Arabidopsis thaliana: one gene and its partner. The protein of the gene in region 2 purifies or fractionates together with the protein of the main gene of each other region. This does not show direct contact. Each region holds a gene or a part of one and is shown on either strand. Other genes may lie near its edges. The genes, in order: ABH1 and AT4G22285.

Region 1 (8,603 bases), on a different chromosome or scaffold from region 2:
ACAAAAACTGTAGAAAGGCGAAGTATGATGGAGGACAGTGTGATTTTGTTAAAAAAGGTGAAAAATTACCAGAATGTTGTTGCTATTATAACAAAAATTGATACTCATTGTAGTAACCGGCTACTTGAGTCTTGAGCATTATGTTTGTCTTCAACTTCTTAGTATAATAAATTTCTTACAATAAATTAATATTGTTACTCATAAGCAGACAATTTTATAGTACGGTTGCTCAATTGTGCTCAAATCGGAACATGCAGTTCCCTTTTTGGTAAATGAAATGCTTTCGATATTTGCGTAGGCCACTCTGAGAAACGAGCTCCAGAAACAAGACTGGTGTTAAAAGTTTAAACTCTTGTTTTTTGACTCTTTTCAATTTCCTAATAACTTGATGTCAGAATCAGAATCTCATAACAAAAAACAAAAGAGACAGGTTTGATTGAGATTGAAAGAGGAAGATTAATGTAATGGGAATTGAAGTGCAGAAGATATGGCTTGGAGAAAGAGAGGATGCACATCTTCACCCGAGAACACTTCTGACTCCAACTTCTCCATGTGAGGCCATATCTACAAGAACATGGTGAAACAAGTCAATATTCAATCTACTAAAGCTCTTACAACAACATCCCAACTATTAAGTTATTTTTTACCTCGCTCGCATATTGCCTTGTAAATGCCGTGAGATAGCCAAGTGTTGATAAGCACCACTGTTCTCTCTCACCGACTTCGCAACTCTTCTTTGGGTTTCCATTCTCGCTGTCCACGTCCATCGCAGATGGCTTGTCATCTTCAGCACCTATAGATTTTAGATCCTGCACTGATCTCACTTTAGTTGGATCTGGGAGCCGTTCCTTCAGTACACCTAAGAAACTTTGGAACAGCAAGAGCAGTAAAACCTATGCACAAGTCAACTCAATTAGCTTTTAGTAGATAAAAGGAAATAATAAGATCATGTGCTGCATTAAACTAATATATAATACCTCGGTCTCAGAGAGAGCTCTGTTAAGAAGAGCCTCTTTTGCCTCTAGGGACTCCCGAAGAGATAACTCCGCTTCCCCTGTCTTCTCCACTGTTGATTTTAAACGCTTCATCTTCGCTGGATTCTCACCAAGAACGGGTTCACCTTCCACTAGGGAAAGTTTGCTCTCAGCAGCCTCCAACTCTACTCGTGCATTGGCTGAAGCTTTCTCAGCAACCAAAACATTTTTCGTAATGTTTGATATATCTTTCCTCAAATCAGAGATACGGTTATAAGTCTTGTTAAGAGCATTGCCAAGTATCTGCAGAGACAGAAACAGATTTACGAAGATAAACAAACTTGCTCTGCAGAGTGTAGAAAATAAATATACTTCTGTTAAAACGCAACTGACCTCCCATGGCTGATCAGACACATGAAACTGATCAACATTTTCTGGAGAGAACACCCATCTAACAATTGCCTGATTAGATACTAGTCTATAACCCATCATCCTATCAATTGCCACCGCCGTCATTTGTACATTGTTTTTCCAGTATGTACTCACTTGAGATAATAGCATCACCTGCTTATCGTTATCAGGACAAAGCTTTGAAAATACTTGGCCATATCGCTCCAGGACAGTGACCAAATGAGTGAAACTTTTTGATCCGATGTCAAGTAAGGTCTGTACAACTATTGTAAGAGTAACTTCAAAACCATGAACTGGATATATCGTTTCTTCAATCCACACTATCATGTCACGTGCGGTTTGTTTTTCCTTGACCTTCCTGCTCAATTCGGCTGACAATTGCTGTTCTTCTGTTTTCTCTTTACCTTCTTCCAAGGAATACATAAAATTCGGACCAGCTTTTGGAGGAAGTAATTCTTCTAGGGCAGTCGCATTCTCAATGCTCTGTTAGACACACATAGAAAAAACAATATAGCCTGAGGAAGGATATCTGATGCTTAAGTTTGGAATGATATATCCATGTGGATAACAAGATGAAACATTGATCCCCCACAAAATGGAATAAGACAAATAACCCTAGGCTAAGAGAAAAGTATATCTGATGCTTAAGTTTGGCAGCTATTAGGATATCTGACGATCTGTTACCTGCTTAATTTTATCCCAGTAAGACAAGCGTACTTCTCTTTGCAAAATCTCCTGAACAAATACACGCTTAGGGGCCCACTTGGGAAGATCCAACACAAAAGCCCACTCTTCCCACGGCCAGATGAATTGGAAGTTGGATCTGTTAAGCATGGAGTTATCAACATGAGAGTAGAGAGCAAAACGAAATACGTAATCAACTTCATGTGATGAATAACATATTTCTCAATTAATCGAGAAAGTAAGACTCAAACACGACCACTGTATCATGTAAACGAATCGTCAGTAATGCTGACTGAAAATCCATATTTTATGTTTCAATAATCCATATTTTATAAGCTAGGTAACTTTCTAACATATATGGAACATTCACCAAACATTCGACAATAAAGCACCTTTTCCAGATTACAAAAAATCAAGAGGTAAGAAATATGAAATTATATACTTACAAGTGGTGAGAAAACCAGAGGATAAGACGCGTCCTGGATTCCATGTCTAAGTCGGATATTTTCTCAAATAGTGCACGAACAGCGCCAGCAACAACAGCAGGAAAGGCACCCGGAAGAGCCTAAATTAATTGAATATTTGGAATCAGGTTGAAAAAAGAAATAACAGCAGGGATTTAAAAACCATCGGATGAACAGTATAATCCTTTGTACCTTACAAAGATCCATAATCACGAGTGTATAATAAAGAGTCTTGAATGGTGGCTGGGGTAGCAGCAGTATCTGAAAAACAGTAGATACAATTGTTATATTTAAAAATCACAGATCTTGGAATTAATTGGTATAATCTGCCAGAAACGTATGCTTTTATATTACAACGTGAATACTCACTAGAGAGATAATCCCAAAATTTATACAACAGAAGTTACCTGAGAAAATAGTGTCTCTGCCATAAGATACTCGTACCGAAATGTAACAGGAAGATTAGCCATGTAGGATGCACACTCCTTCCGACTAGCTTTGCAATAAATTAATTAGTGAAACAAAATTCTATATAATTTAAGAAGGCAAACAAAATTTAGTAACCAGAAAGAAAGAGACTTAGCATAAGCTAAGATGTTGATTAGAAAACATGTATATGCTAGGCAAGTCTACAACCATAATAATGACTTAAATAAGTATATGCTAGGTTCAACTAGATACTCAACGCAAAAACACTAGCCCTTAGTAGTAGCCAATTAGTCGCCCAGCTGAATCAGTGACCATATTATTCAAAGAGTAAGTCATGAACTTAGATTAATACACCATACTCTAAGGTTAATAATTTAGAAAACACGTGACTAATTTGCTATGGTTGGGGGACAAAAACCAAGATCTACACCAAAACCAGCATGAATGGACGACCACTGTGCAAGAAAAATATAGAAGAAACATACAAAAACGTCAAAAGAACACAAGCTTTGGGAAAATACACACCATCCATTCAAATAGAAGAGCACATCCAGCAAATACTCCTCCACGACAAAACGATCAATTGGTTGTACATCCTGCGAGTTTGATAGTTACAGAATCAGAAGAAAGGGTAGACAAAGAAAAGGAATACAAAAGGACACCATATAACCCATATATCAATCTACAAATATAATAGGTTAGAAAAAAGAAAAATGTTGACGACTGAAAAGGTAGCAAGTATAATAAGCTTCCATTAGCATGAAATATGTCCTATTCAGATAAACAATGACATCAAAAACCAGAATATTACCTCCATTTTATTAGCTGGAAATATATTCAACCTACGAATTCTCTGGGGATATCTCGTCAATGCATCATGCTTTTGCTTGCCACTGTATGCCCTCGAATGATCAGAAGGTGGACTCGGTTGTTCCATACATTTAATGGGACGTAGCTCATGAAACTTTCCAGCAACGAGTTGAGCTTCAAACGAGAGATGAGGCCTAGGTACTAGCACATTGAATATGCATGAAATTGTCAATTGTAATATACAACTAATATCTCTAGTCATATGAACTGATCAATTTGTAAGTCAAACAAGGTAGATAAGGATATTAAAAGAGAGGGTTCGTAGAAGATTGCAATCTTGTAATACAAAGAGATATGAGAAGTTGACAAAATAAGCATACCGCTTTCAAGTTTCCATCCATTGGAAGCCAGAGACTGAATTCGATCCAATAGATCCTCCACGAAATCCTAACGAGACACAAATGAGAAAGACGAATGACGCAGACCAAAAGTTATCACACCATGATACAAAATTCAACAGATATCTATCTCAAACAAAAGCAGAAATGAAACGTCACATCCATGCATCTTATTTATACATTTGCCAAGACATCTACCGAAACAAAATCAGAGGGGCAGCTAACACAAAGCAAATACAACAACTTCAAGAATTAAACACTAAAAGGCAAACCTTCTCTGCAAGGCTGCTTTCAAATTCTCCGTTGTGAAAAAAGTTTAACCCAGAGGTGGAAGAATTCTTTCGGATGCTCAAATAAGCTTGTATCCCAACTAACACTCTTTCAATCTCATCAGGAACTTGCTGCAAACCAAAGGGAAATTCAGCGGCCATACAAGTTAAGATAATAGATATGAAAGCAGACTAACAAAGTTGGTTGCAGATCCAACAAGGATGACATCATTATAAAATTGGAAACGCATATCCAGTATTCTAATAGCCTTCAATGTAAATAATTTCTAGAATGTATTTAGTCCAAGAGCAGTACCTCAGCGAGTTCTGATCCTCCCCACGGGAGGCTGGACAAGATGCATATAACGTAAAAGTCAGCTTGTGGCTGCCATGATGGATTTCCTTTCTCTTCATCCACAGTAGTGGCAGCAGATGATAGCAATGTTTCGAAGACGACAATCAAAGAAGCAGGTTGAATAACCTTACTGCACAACTAAAGAACCCAACTAAAACATGTTAGAAAATAGACAAAACATCTCAAAATTTTCACAAATACTGTTCTATATACTTCGCACTTTTATTTTTTAGACGCTTTCTGTGTATTAGAAACATGAACTAACATATTAAATAGACGAAGCAACCATGAAACATGATTAGCAACCATACCAGGGAAGTCATAAAGCGAAGCAATATACGGATACTGTTGCAGTTGCCAGAATCTAAAGCGACCTGGCATGTTTGACCAAGAAAAACAGTCACATTAGAAACAAAAGTAACTGAGAAAACTTATGTTATCAATTTATCCTTGGCCTTTGATGTACAGATTAGATTATTCACCTGGAAATTAGCGTGGACACTTTCTACTAGCTTCTGGACAAAATCTTCATTCTCCAAGTTCAACAAACCAATCTTAAACATGTGGAAAGACATCCATCAAACTTCGAAGTATGTGTATCAGATTAAATCGAACTAATTTATAACAGGGAACAGGGTATCTCAGTTCAAAAATAGATCCAAATGCTACTTACACAGATAAGAATTATACACAGAAAATATTCAAGCATTCTTTATTACTCAGAAGTTAGCAAATATTGATGAATACTATGAATAAATAGATTCCTACAACATGTTATATATGATATAATAGACACAAAATGATCCACCTTAAGGGCATTTCCACTATTATTTGTGTTTCTGAAGTGTTCATTTGTTTCAAGTTAAATGCCTTCCGTTATTGCTTCGAGCTAATTATTCTTCGATAAGAATCAGTTCACAGATACCATAACATACTCAATCAAAACCTCCACATATATAACACATCTAAATGCAAGCCCAACATCCAACACATACCCAGAAATGAAAAAGCCAAGGTAACTAGTTTATAAGAGACTTACCAAAGTCCCATACAAAGGAATCTTATGAGGCAATTGTTCAGCACATTGTAGTAGAAACTGTTAAGACGAAAACAAAAATAATGAGAACACACAATAATAATATCCACAGAGATACATCACAACAGATCCTAAAATTGAAGGCTCGAAGTCACTTACAGGCAAAACTTGATCTCCAGAACGCTCGATTTCTCTACGAATGACACCGAAACAAGTCTCCTGTATATAGAGAATCGGAAAAGTTTTGAGTAGTGAGAAAATTAGGGTTTAAGAGCGAGGATGAATCGAGAGAGAGATACTGACGATGTGGTCTTTGTAGTCGGAGGAAGTGCCGTACTCAGGTCCCTTTTCGCCGATGCGAAGGAGAAGAGTTTTCCAATTGCTCATCTTCTTCCGAGAGGTTTTTCTTCAGTTCGTCTCTTTGTTGTTTCTCCTTTGGTATCAGTCACTCTGCCCTAGTTTTTTTTTTTATGTCCGTGTCTCGTCAAAACTAATTTTTTTTTTTTTTTCTCATAAGTGTTGTCATCTAAGAAAAGGAGTTCACAAAAAGAGTTTGACAAAAAGTTTTTCTCTCTCTTCTTTCTCTTAGTAGCTGAAACTAGCCGTTAAAACAATAGTCGTCCCAGTTAATTTGGAGCCTAAAGACTTTTCTCTCAGGTGTTCTATTCTGAACGGAGCTTCTACCAGAAATATTTACGTGTTCGGTCCGGTCTAAATTGTTGTTTTCTTCCTCGGATTTTTGGTAGTTCTGACTCTTTCTCTGTTACGAGAGTTTGCTTTGTGATTCTCAGTTCTGTGTTGGTTATCATCTGAATTACTCGGATTTCTTCACTGTTTTTTCTCTTGGAGTTTGTTTCCTGCAAATCAGGTTTGACGAGTTCGGGAAAGTTGTTTACTCTCTATCAGGATCTCATCATGGAGCTGGATAAAGCCATTCAGAATATGTCGATTTAAGACAATAAGCCTCTGATTCTTTCTGATCAACCGCGCTTTTGTTCAATTAACAGAAACAACTGTCGTTAGTTGGGTAGGTTTTTGAATCTAGAGAATCAAAGGATGTCTAATTGGATATTAGATATGCCACGAATTTGGAGAATTTCTTCTCGGGTTAGAGGTGTTGCTCTCTCAAAGGATCGATTCCAATTTTTCTTCAAATCTGAGGAAGATTTAGAAGAAATTATGAAAATTGGAGTTTGGACAGAAGATAAATTGGGGTGTAGTCATGGATAGATGGATTGAGAATCCTCCAATTGATTATCTGAATTTTCTTCCAATCTGGGGTCGAGTGAGGAATATTTCGGTGAACTATTATACTCAGGACACAATTAAAGAGATCACGAGCTGTATTGGGGAAGTGAAGGAGGTGGTGATGGACTCTGAAAAATCACAGTTTCAGGACTATGTTCGTGTTCGGGTTTTGTTTCATGTCGCCAATCCACTTCGTAACAATAAAGAGGTACAACTTCCATCTGGTGAAGTTGTCACAATTTCTTTTGACTATGAACAGATTAGAAAGAGATGTTTCTTGTGTCAAAGATTAACTCATGATAAAAATAGATGCCCATCCAAAGTCTTAGATTCCATCAAACATGATGTGAGATCATTACAAGAGAAAGGCAAACAGAAGAAGATGTTTTTACCGAGGCTGGCTGAGTTTCCCTTTCAGTCAATTGCTCCCAAAGGAAGGGTAGATGCTTTGCCAGCAAATCCTCTATCAGCTACTGTTGCAATTGATAGTCATCCAGAGAATACTTTGTTAGCTGAGATGCTAGATTTGGACATTAGTACTGGATTTACCACATGTGTTGGTGAGGCTAGTTCCTCCACTTCAGGGTTTAAACATCATATAATGCAGGATTTCACTCCTTTTCAGTTCAGGAAAGAAAAACTAGTTAATGAGCTGTCTCTGAAGAATAAGGTTATTCAGTCTCCTGCCTCTCCTCATTTTGAAAAGGTGTTCAAAAGGAAAAGAAAACCCTCAGACATTACAGAAGCTCAAAGTTTCAAGAGAGACAAGAATACGGTGGTTCCAAGTGAACCACCGTTGGATCAGTAAGGCGTCCTTAGTTGGAATTGTCAAGGCTTGAGGAATCCTTGGACAATTCGACACCTTAAGGAGATGAAAAAAAATCATATCTCGGACATTTTATTCTTCATGGAGACTATGAATCCTGACGAGTTTGTTTCAAAAGTTATTGATTGGCTTGGTTATAACTATATGTATACAATAGAACCTCAAGGGAGAAGTGGTGGCTTAGCAATCTTTTGGAAAAGCCATTTGGACATTGAGATTCTTTTTGATGATAAACATCTTTTGGATCTTCAGTGTTCTTCTAGAAATAAAGTATGCTTTGTTTCTTGTGTTTATGGGCATCTGGTGACATATCTTAGGCCTTAGGTTTGGGATAAGTTGTGTAGTCTTGGATCACATCGGAAGCAAGCTTGGTGTATGATAGGTGACTTCAATGATATTAAGTCGAAAACGGGAAAGAGAGGGGTCCGAGAAGAGTACCTTCTTCGTTTCAATCTTTTCAAGACATGTTGAATACTTGTGATATGCATGAACTAGGTAGTACAAGCAATGGCTTTACTTGGGGAGGGACTAGAAATGGTCAATGGATTCAGTGTAGATTGGATAGATGCTTTGGGAATTCCTCTTGGTTTTCTTTGTTTCCAAATTCTCACCAGTGGTTTCTGAGAGATTTGGATCTGACCATCGTCCTGTTTTAGTCAAGTTTATTAATGATAACGAGTTGTTTCGTGGACAGTTTTG
Region 2 (7,466 bases):
GAAGATCTCAAGAGGCACGAAACCGATGTCGTCTTCGGAAATTATGTCAATATCAAGATATGAGACACCATGTTCCAGCACGTCAACCATCCAGCGGGTGACATGACCGGTGTCGATACTCATACGACATTTTATTGAGATTCTCCTTATGGGGAAATTACCTGTCACAACCAATACTCTGTCCACAAAATCGATGAAACTGTCTCCTCCACCCACTTCTTGATCATCTAAACAGAGATTTGGTCTGAAGGCAAACAAATAACGCCATCGCATTGAGAGGACAGATGTAGAGGTGGCCTCTTTGAACGAAAGGAGAGATAGAATGTGGCAAATAATATCATCTGATAGACCGTTGATCCTATCCATCCTTTGCCAAATCCTAATAAACCTTTCAGGCGTGATCAATCTGAATAAGAGATCTCCAGCATCAACAACACCAAAGAAGATAATCACACACTGCAAACAAAACAAAACAAAACAAAACAAAACAAAAAAGCCACTGTGAGATAAGTAAACATGAGTAAAACTGAAAAGATACTGCCATCAGAAAAAGAATGAAACTTGGACAAACCAACCAGCTGAAATCAATGCAGAATCTAAGATAAAGTACACTCCTTTACAAAGAAAGGATGGATCCTAGCTCAGAACCATAATTCTCAATTCATTACAGTAAAAAAAAAAAGAGTGAAATTTGGACAAACACATCAGCTAACATCAATGGAAGCAGATGCAGAATCTAAAATAATGTGTTGAGCTTTACTAAAAAACCAAAGAATTCTCTCCCAAACCCATAATTGATAATTCAATTCACTACTATCAAAACATGTGAGCCTATAAGGGGGATGAGATCAACCAATACTTGATAATTCAATGCAAACACCAACCATATCAGTCATACGGTGAGCATAAAACTGACCAGAGGGGACGAGACTCGAGAGTGGAGGGAGACAGAGAAGCGTGCATCCGCCTTCGTAGAGAGAGTTTGGGGTTTTGTGTTTTCACTTTTCACATTAAATGGGTAAGTTTTGGGCTGTCTTTTATTTTCCACTTTTGGGCTTTAAGATTTAAGTTTCCACTATGGAAACCAATCAAAGGCTTCTACATGGGCTTTGTTGTTTACTAGCACAACATTGCACCTTTAACTTCAGACTTATCATGCACTGATGTGAGATATTTAAGCCGTTAACGTTGACAATAGTTGCTGGATTTCTTCCCACAATACATGTCTCATCAGTCATCACATCCTTTTCCATTACTGTGGAAGAAAATCCAATGATACCAGTCAAAATAAACGCCTACATCAACAGTCTAATACTTCCCATTCTACTGAAGTACTCAGGGTTTAAAGATTGATAGTGTATACATAAACCAGTCTATATACTATTAAAGATAGTATCTAATTTGGGTAAAATAATGATCCAAGGTTTGGATAGTGACTCTAATAGAAGGTTCTTTTTAGATTTTGGCTAAGATACTTGGTGCAACCCGAATAACAGTTTAAGATGCGTGTTGAATATAGCATACCCTTCTTTGAGACGCATGACACGGTCATCGGCTGAGAGGTTGTGTATTAAGATACAAATAAATTAGAAAAACACACACTTCTTTTTAAGATATTTTTTGGAAATGGAAACTCAAAAGTCAAATGTGTATTTTACTACAAAATTTCAAAAGTTGCAGAATTTGAAGACTTTTTACCAAAAGCTCTTCCCAAAACTCATACAATATGCGTTTTTTTACCAAGGTTTTTCATTATGATGAATCACTAGCAACAACAGGCTCTCTCTCTATCCTTAAAAAAGAGGTTCAAGAATCCCCTTTTTGAGTTCTAATCTCATTCCTCCTCAATCCAAGATTAAACTGGTCACTTTTACTCTTAAAACCAGATGGAGTCAGTTTGTTTCCAGTGCTCTATTCCTCCTCCTGCTCATATATCTGCATGTATGCTTCCGATAGTTCTACCATCTGGGGAAGTGTCTCTGCAACATGAAGATCCTGCATCTCGTACCTGCAATGGACATTATCCCCCAAATGAATTTATGTCTTTCTTATGCACAGATCTAGATCATGCATTTGTGAACATGAAACACAATAATAGTTAATGATTGAGAAAGCTTACCATAGTTCTTGTGACTTGCGCTGCACAAAGACTCTGAAGTATCCGTCCTCAGGCTTACCATCATGTACAATGTTAGCGATTAGATTATACTTTGAACACACATTCTCGCCTTCTGGTGCTCTAGGCAATGATGGTATGTAATCCCTCAGCTCCATGTCCTTCACTGGGAAGTTAACTGTGGCATAGGAAAAAATTGGCATTAGGGATCCTTATACAACATGAACGTCACAAAAATTCCAAATAGACTCACCCAAGGTAGGGTTCTTCTCTTTGAAGAAGTTATTCTTCTTGAACCGAACCATATGGAACATCAAGTAACGAGGAGATTTGATTACACGGTATCTCATTCTGGCCAGCTTAGGCCGAACCACCTCTGTCACAGTTTCTCCATCAAACTTCTTCAATAAATCAAATAGAGCAACCTGACCCAAACATCAAAGAAATTAGTTTCTGCTAACCTCACTTTGCAAACTAAACACTCTAAGACGCATATACGAGGTAGCAAGCCATAAAGGCTACAGGAGCTCCAAACAACCAAGGACTCAGAGAATTCTACACTTTCCCAAGTCATAAACTAGATTCGAAAAAGACAGTTTACTCCAGGACAGTAAATTTGCAATGGCACTATTTAAGAATCCCTTTATTGTATCTCAACCAAATGTGACATTATTATATTGAGAATTATAAGTTTTCTAGCACTTCACGTTATCTTATTGATCAAAATGTTCCCCTTACTGAAATGCATTTTTCAAATGGCACAGAGTAGCAAGACGTTCAAGATTTGAAATAGCCATATACCTGCGGAATAATGTTTTTCTCCATGACATCTTTGAAAAGAGGAGGCGGTGGCAAATCTAGACCGAGCATCAGAAAAGACATCCTGGAGATTTCTTTGTTTTCATTGCCTTGAAACTCTTTCACAACCTCCAACTCACCCTATAATGGTTAGAAGGTTACATGAAGATGCAGCTTTTTGTAAGCAATTATATCAAACTGCATTTAGGTTGACATGTCAAAGGACTGACACATACCTGGAAGCACTTGTGGATGATACTGCTGGCGTCCTTTGAAGTTCTAAGATCCATGTGCAAAGTGTTGAGGAGCCACGACATAAACTCTACTGGATCTGATTGTTGGCCAATCCTAAACCGTTTCTTGCTGGCTTTCATGACAGCTTGCAAGAATTCATGTGGACTCACCTGTTGATGCAAGGTGACTTAAATTAGCGAGGTCCTCAACAGGTGAGGGCATAACAAAAACTAAAAGTGAGAGGCATAAATTGAGTCAGACTTGTCCTTTAAAGTTTCGAGCATGCCAAATCTTGCGAGTTAGTTCCCCAAAACGGTGAACAAGAGGAGACTTGCAGTGCTGATAATTTTCAGGAATGAGGAAGAAATTCCTTAGAGGAGTAACTCTCATCAACGACTGGATTGTAACATTCACAAACTCTGTCTTTTGTATGTTGTTCAACCCCACCTACATATTTACAAGCTTAACCTTTAGGAGACATTAATTTCAAGATCAAGTGTAATCAAAGAGAAAGGATTACCATTCCTGGAAGATAGTCGGAGCCATCAAGAGCCCTAGACCACTGCCTATTCTTGTCAAGCTCGTTTACTTGTGCTCTACTAAACCTGTAAATGGATAACACCGAAGCCTTCATAAAAAGGAACTGTAAAATCAAAGAAAATTTGACAAGACATGAAAGAAGAGTAATATGTTCAAGCTATCAAGAATAAAAATATAAATAGATGGTAGATGATACAGAGAACTAGCAAGAAGAAACTGATTGAGATAATAGTCAAAGCAATTTTGTTGTTGTTAACTACGTGCAAAGGCTCACATGTTCACAAATCAATACACAAAATGCAGTAAGAACTATGAAGTAGTAGTCACAAGATCTAATATACCTTGGGTTTAAAACATGGCGAATGTCATCCAAAGAAGGGTCATTGATCTCGTAACTATCAGGAAGACAATAAACCTTCTCTGTCAGAAGATTGATGTAAACGTGGTGTCCTGCTTCCAAGCTATGTGTATAAGCATGAGACTTCTGGCTTCTTCCTTGGAAGTACTTCCCACAAACAAGACACGCATACACATTCAGATTTGACAAGGACACAGAGCAAAACCTCTCAAAATCAAAATCCAACACCTGAAATTCAACATACAACATGAGTTTAGATACTCAACACCAAAAACGATTATACAATGAAGACAGCAGAAACATAACCATTGATCAAAGATTACAATCAAGAAATTAATTACCTGACGATTAACGGTATCAAGATAAGGACAATCACGGCGAACTTCAACATGGCGTGAATGCTTTCCCTTACCCTTCGAGACATCATCATCTTCGTCGTCATCGACCTCTTCTTGAGCTTCTCCTTTCACTTTGTTACCATTTCCCTCCCCTTTCGCAACTCCATTACCACGAGCTTGCGATTTCTTCTGCTCGTTCTCCTCTTCCTCATCATCATCATCGTAAGTATTAGCCAACGGCAGAAGAGGATTGTTGAAACCTAGTGGTGGAGGTGGTGAATCAGACCGTTCCATCACTCTCTTCCTCTTCACTTCTCTCTCTTCCTCAGAAACACCATTCTTAACTTCTCTTTCACCTTTCATTCTCAAAATTTTCCTTATGCTACAGCTTGCTTCAAAAACCCTAGAAGTCTAGAACACAAAATCCCAGCGTTTCACAAAGATCCTCAACCAAAGAAGCAATGATTCTTCCAAACAAACGCCCTAGAATTCAAATCAGAAGAGATCTGATAGACCGTTGATTCTATCCATCCTTTTGCCAAATCCTAATAAACCTTTCAGGCGTGATCAATCTGAATAAGAGATCTCCAGCATCAACAACACCAAAGAAGATAATCACACACTGCAAACAAAACAAAAAAGCCACTGTGAGATAAGTAAACATGAGTAAAACTGAAAAGATACTTCCATCAGAAAAAGAATGAAACTTGGACAAACCAACCAGCTGAAATCAATGCAGAATCTAAGATAAAGTACACTCCTTTACAAAGAAAGGATGGATCCTAGCTCAGAACCATAATTCTCAATTTCATTACATAACAAAAAAAGAGTGAAATTTGGACAAACCCATCAGCTAACATCAATGAAAGCAGATAGAGAATCTAACATAAAGTGTTGTGCTTTACTAAAAAAACAAAGAATTCAATCCCAAACCCATAATTGATAATTCAATTCATTACTATCAAAACATGTGAGCCTATAAGGGGGATGAGATCAACCAATAATCGATATTAATCGGTCATACGGTGAGCATAAAACTGACCAGAGGGGACGAGACTCGAGAGTGGAGGGAGACAGAGAAGCGTGCATCCGCCTTCGTAGAGAGAGTTTGGGGTTTTGTGTTTTCGCTATTCACAAGCAGAGTGAGAGACCGTAAATTAAATGGGTAAGTTTTGGGCTGTCTTTTATTTTCCACATTTGGGCTTTAAGTTTTAAGTTTCCACTATGGAAACCAATCAAAGGCTTCTACATGGGCTTTGTTGTCATCAGCTTCTCTGCGGCTTTCATGCTTACTTGTTTACTAGCACAACATTGCATGCACCTATTGCAGAGATGCCTAAGGTTTCCTTGGTGGATAAGAATAGTGGATAGGACATAATAATTATTTTAACAGAAAAGAGCATTTACACTTTGGGGCTCTATGTACACAAACATAAACCCCATACAAGGGGCAAAAAAAAAAAACAGAATTAAGAAAGAAAAACAAAAGCTAATAAGGTAAAAGGCAAAGCCTATTTGGTTTTCTTTTTGAACCAATTTGGCTGTCCTCTCATTCCCTCTCTTCTCTTCTCTTCTCTTCCTTCCTTCAGTCTCGTGAGCCTAACTGTTTAAGCATTTTTATATTTGAATATCGGGCAAAAGAAGCATTACATACATATTGGTTTCAGACAGGAATGACATCAGCGTTTTGATTATCGTCGCAGGTTATGATTAAGCCATCTGCGTAGGTTGGGAAGAGGCAGTGCCACCACCGGCACCCACTGGAGACTGCTTCTGCCGGAGGAACTATCATCAGAACGTTGTCGTGCCTTCTTACCATCCCCATCACGCTCACTGTGCTTCCTTCTTTTATGTATCTGTTGCATCACACACAATCAAATATGATTTTAAATCAGTAACAAAGGGATTCTCTTTGACAGCAAAAGTGAAACCAATGAGCTTTCTTGTGTACTAAAAACGATCATTTGTACTAGAAACGGTGACTTTTGGGTCTCATTAGCTTTAGACTTAATTCAAACTTCTAAGCCCTTTAACTTCAGACTTATCATGCACTGATGTGAGATGTTTAAGCCGTTAACGTTGACAATAGTTGCTGGATTTCTTCCTACAATACATGTCTCATCACATCTTTTTCCATTACTGTGACTTTTAATGTGGAAGAATAACCAACGGTACCAGTCAAAGTAAACGCCTACATCAACAGTTTAATACTTCCCATTCTACTAAAGAAATCAGGGTTTAAAAGGTTGTAATTTGGGTAAAATAAGGATCCAAGGTTTGGATAGTGACTCTAATAACGTTATTTTTAGATTTTGGCTAAGATACTTCGTGCAACCCGAAGAACAGTTTAAGATGCGTGTTGAATATAACATACCCTTCTTTGAGACGCATAACACGGTCATCAGCTGAGAGGTTGCGATCTGACAGCCACTTTAAGAAGCTGGGAGATAAATCTTTGTTCTGCGTTGTTACATTAGCCACTGTCGCCGGTTTGACAAAAGGAGAAACTTTTGATCCATATCCTGCTTTTACTAGTGCTCGCAATCCAGATTGGAAATCCGAGATGTAAAAATCCGACACATATTTCTGCCAAAGAAATATAACCACAACAAGAATCATCAAACTTCACCATCTTTTCTTGTCATATAAGATCTGAAAACTTTGACCAAATCACTGAGACAAATGGTCCTTTTGCAAGAGGAGAAAAAGAAACTAACCTCTGCATGTCTAGATCCCCAAGAAAAGCATCGATGTTTTGGGTTTGCGGATTTCCCACCAAAACCTTTGTATTCATACAACTCCGTGGATACATAAACGCATCTTGGTGTTCTTTGGAACGAAGATTCCAAAGGAATGCTTCCACATGTCACAACCTACAAAAACATAACAAAAGTTTTAACATTTCCAGCAAATAAAAGACACACCAGTGACCACACTACCATATCTACATCAACATTGTTAATTCAGACAATATAAATGGTCTGTCCAACGCATTAAGCTAGCTGTTGACGACTGTAATCCAATCGACAATACAAAAATACCCGTGACTCCAATTTGTCGAATTATAAATGGTCTAATTTCA

Evidence for each region.
Region 1: the proteins of AT4G22285 (region 2) and ABH1 fractionate together in Arabidopsis thaliana (co-fractionation; one large-scale study listed by BioGRID). This does not show direct contact.

Annotation. Positions count from the first base shown.
Region 1 is NC_003071.7:5,634,667-5,643,269, reverse strand, and holds ABH1 (ARM repeat superfamily protein), read right to left. Parts: upstream 6,387-8,603; 5' UTR 6,218-6,386; coding exon 6,134-6,217; intron 6,050-6,133; coding exon 5,990-6,049; intron 5,891-5,989; coding exon 5,834-5,890; intron 5,349-5,833; coding exon 5,277-5,348; intron 5,169-5,276; coding exon 5,106-5,168; intron 4,933-5,105; coding exon 4,756-4,932; intron 4,572-4,755; coding exon 4,443-4,571; intron 4,220-4,442; coding exon 4,153-4,219; intron 3,974-4,152; coding exon 3,774-3,973; intron 3,559-3,773; coding exon 3,488-3,558; intron 3,026-3,487; coding exon 2,941-3,025; intron 2,795-2,940; coding exon 2,726-2,794; intron 2,635-2,725; coding exon 2,516-2,634; intron 2,209-2,515; coding exon 2,070-2,208; intron 1,869-2,069; coding exon 1,368-1,868; intron 1,278-1,367; coding exon 978-1,277; intron 894-977; coding exon 648-893; intron 565-647; coding exon 457-564; 3' UTR 204-456; downstream 1-203. Other genes in the region: AT2G13542 (defensin-like protein), read left to right, coding at 1-101. UniProt on the Arabidopsis thaliana protein: Component of the cap-binding complex (CBC), which binds cotranscriptionally to the 5'-cap of pre-mRNAs and is involved in various processes such as pre-mRNA splicing and RNA-mediated gene silencing (RNAi) by microRNAs (miRNAs).
Region 2 is NC_003075.7:11,777,152-11,784,617, forward strand, and holds AT4G22285 (Ubiquitin C-terminal hydrolases superfamily protein), read right to left. Parts: upstream 5,545-7,466; 5' UTR 5,427-5,544; intron 5,007-5,426; 5' UTR 4,748-5,006; coding exon 4,388-4,747; intron 4,275-4,387; coding exon 4,030-4,274; intron 3,754-4,029; coding exon 3,669-3,753; intron 3,596-3,668; coding exon 3,410-3,595; intron 3,319-3,409; coding exon 3,151-3,318; intron 3,056-3,150; coding exon 2,918-3,055; intron 2,542-2,917; coding exon 2,370-2,541; intron 2,295-2,369; coding exon 2,120-2,294; intron 2,009-2,119; coding exon 1,912-2,008; 3' UTR 1,598-1,911; downstream 1-1,597. Other genes in the region: AT4G22280 (F-box/RNI-like superfamily protein), read right to left, coding at 1-366; AT4G22290 (Ubiquitin-specific protease family C19-related protein), read right to left, coding at 6,048-6,240, 6,759-6,970, 7,102-7,257.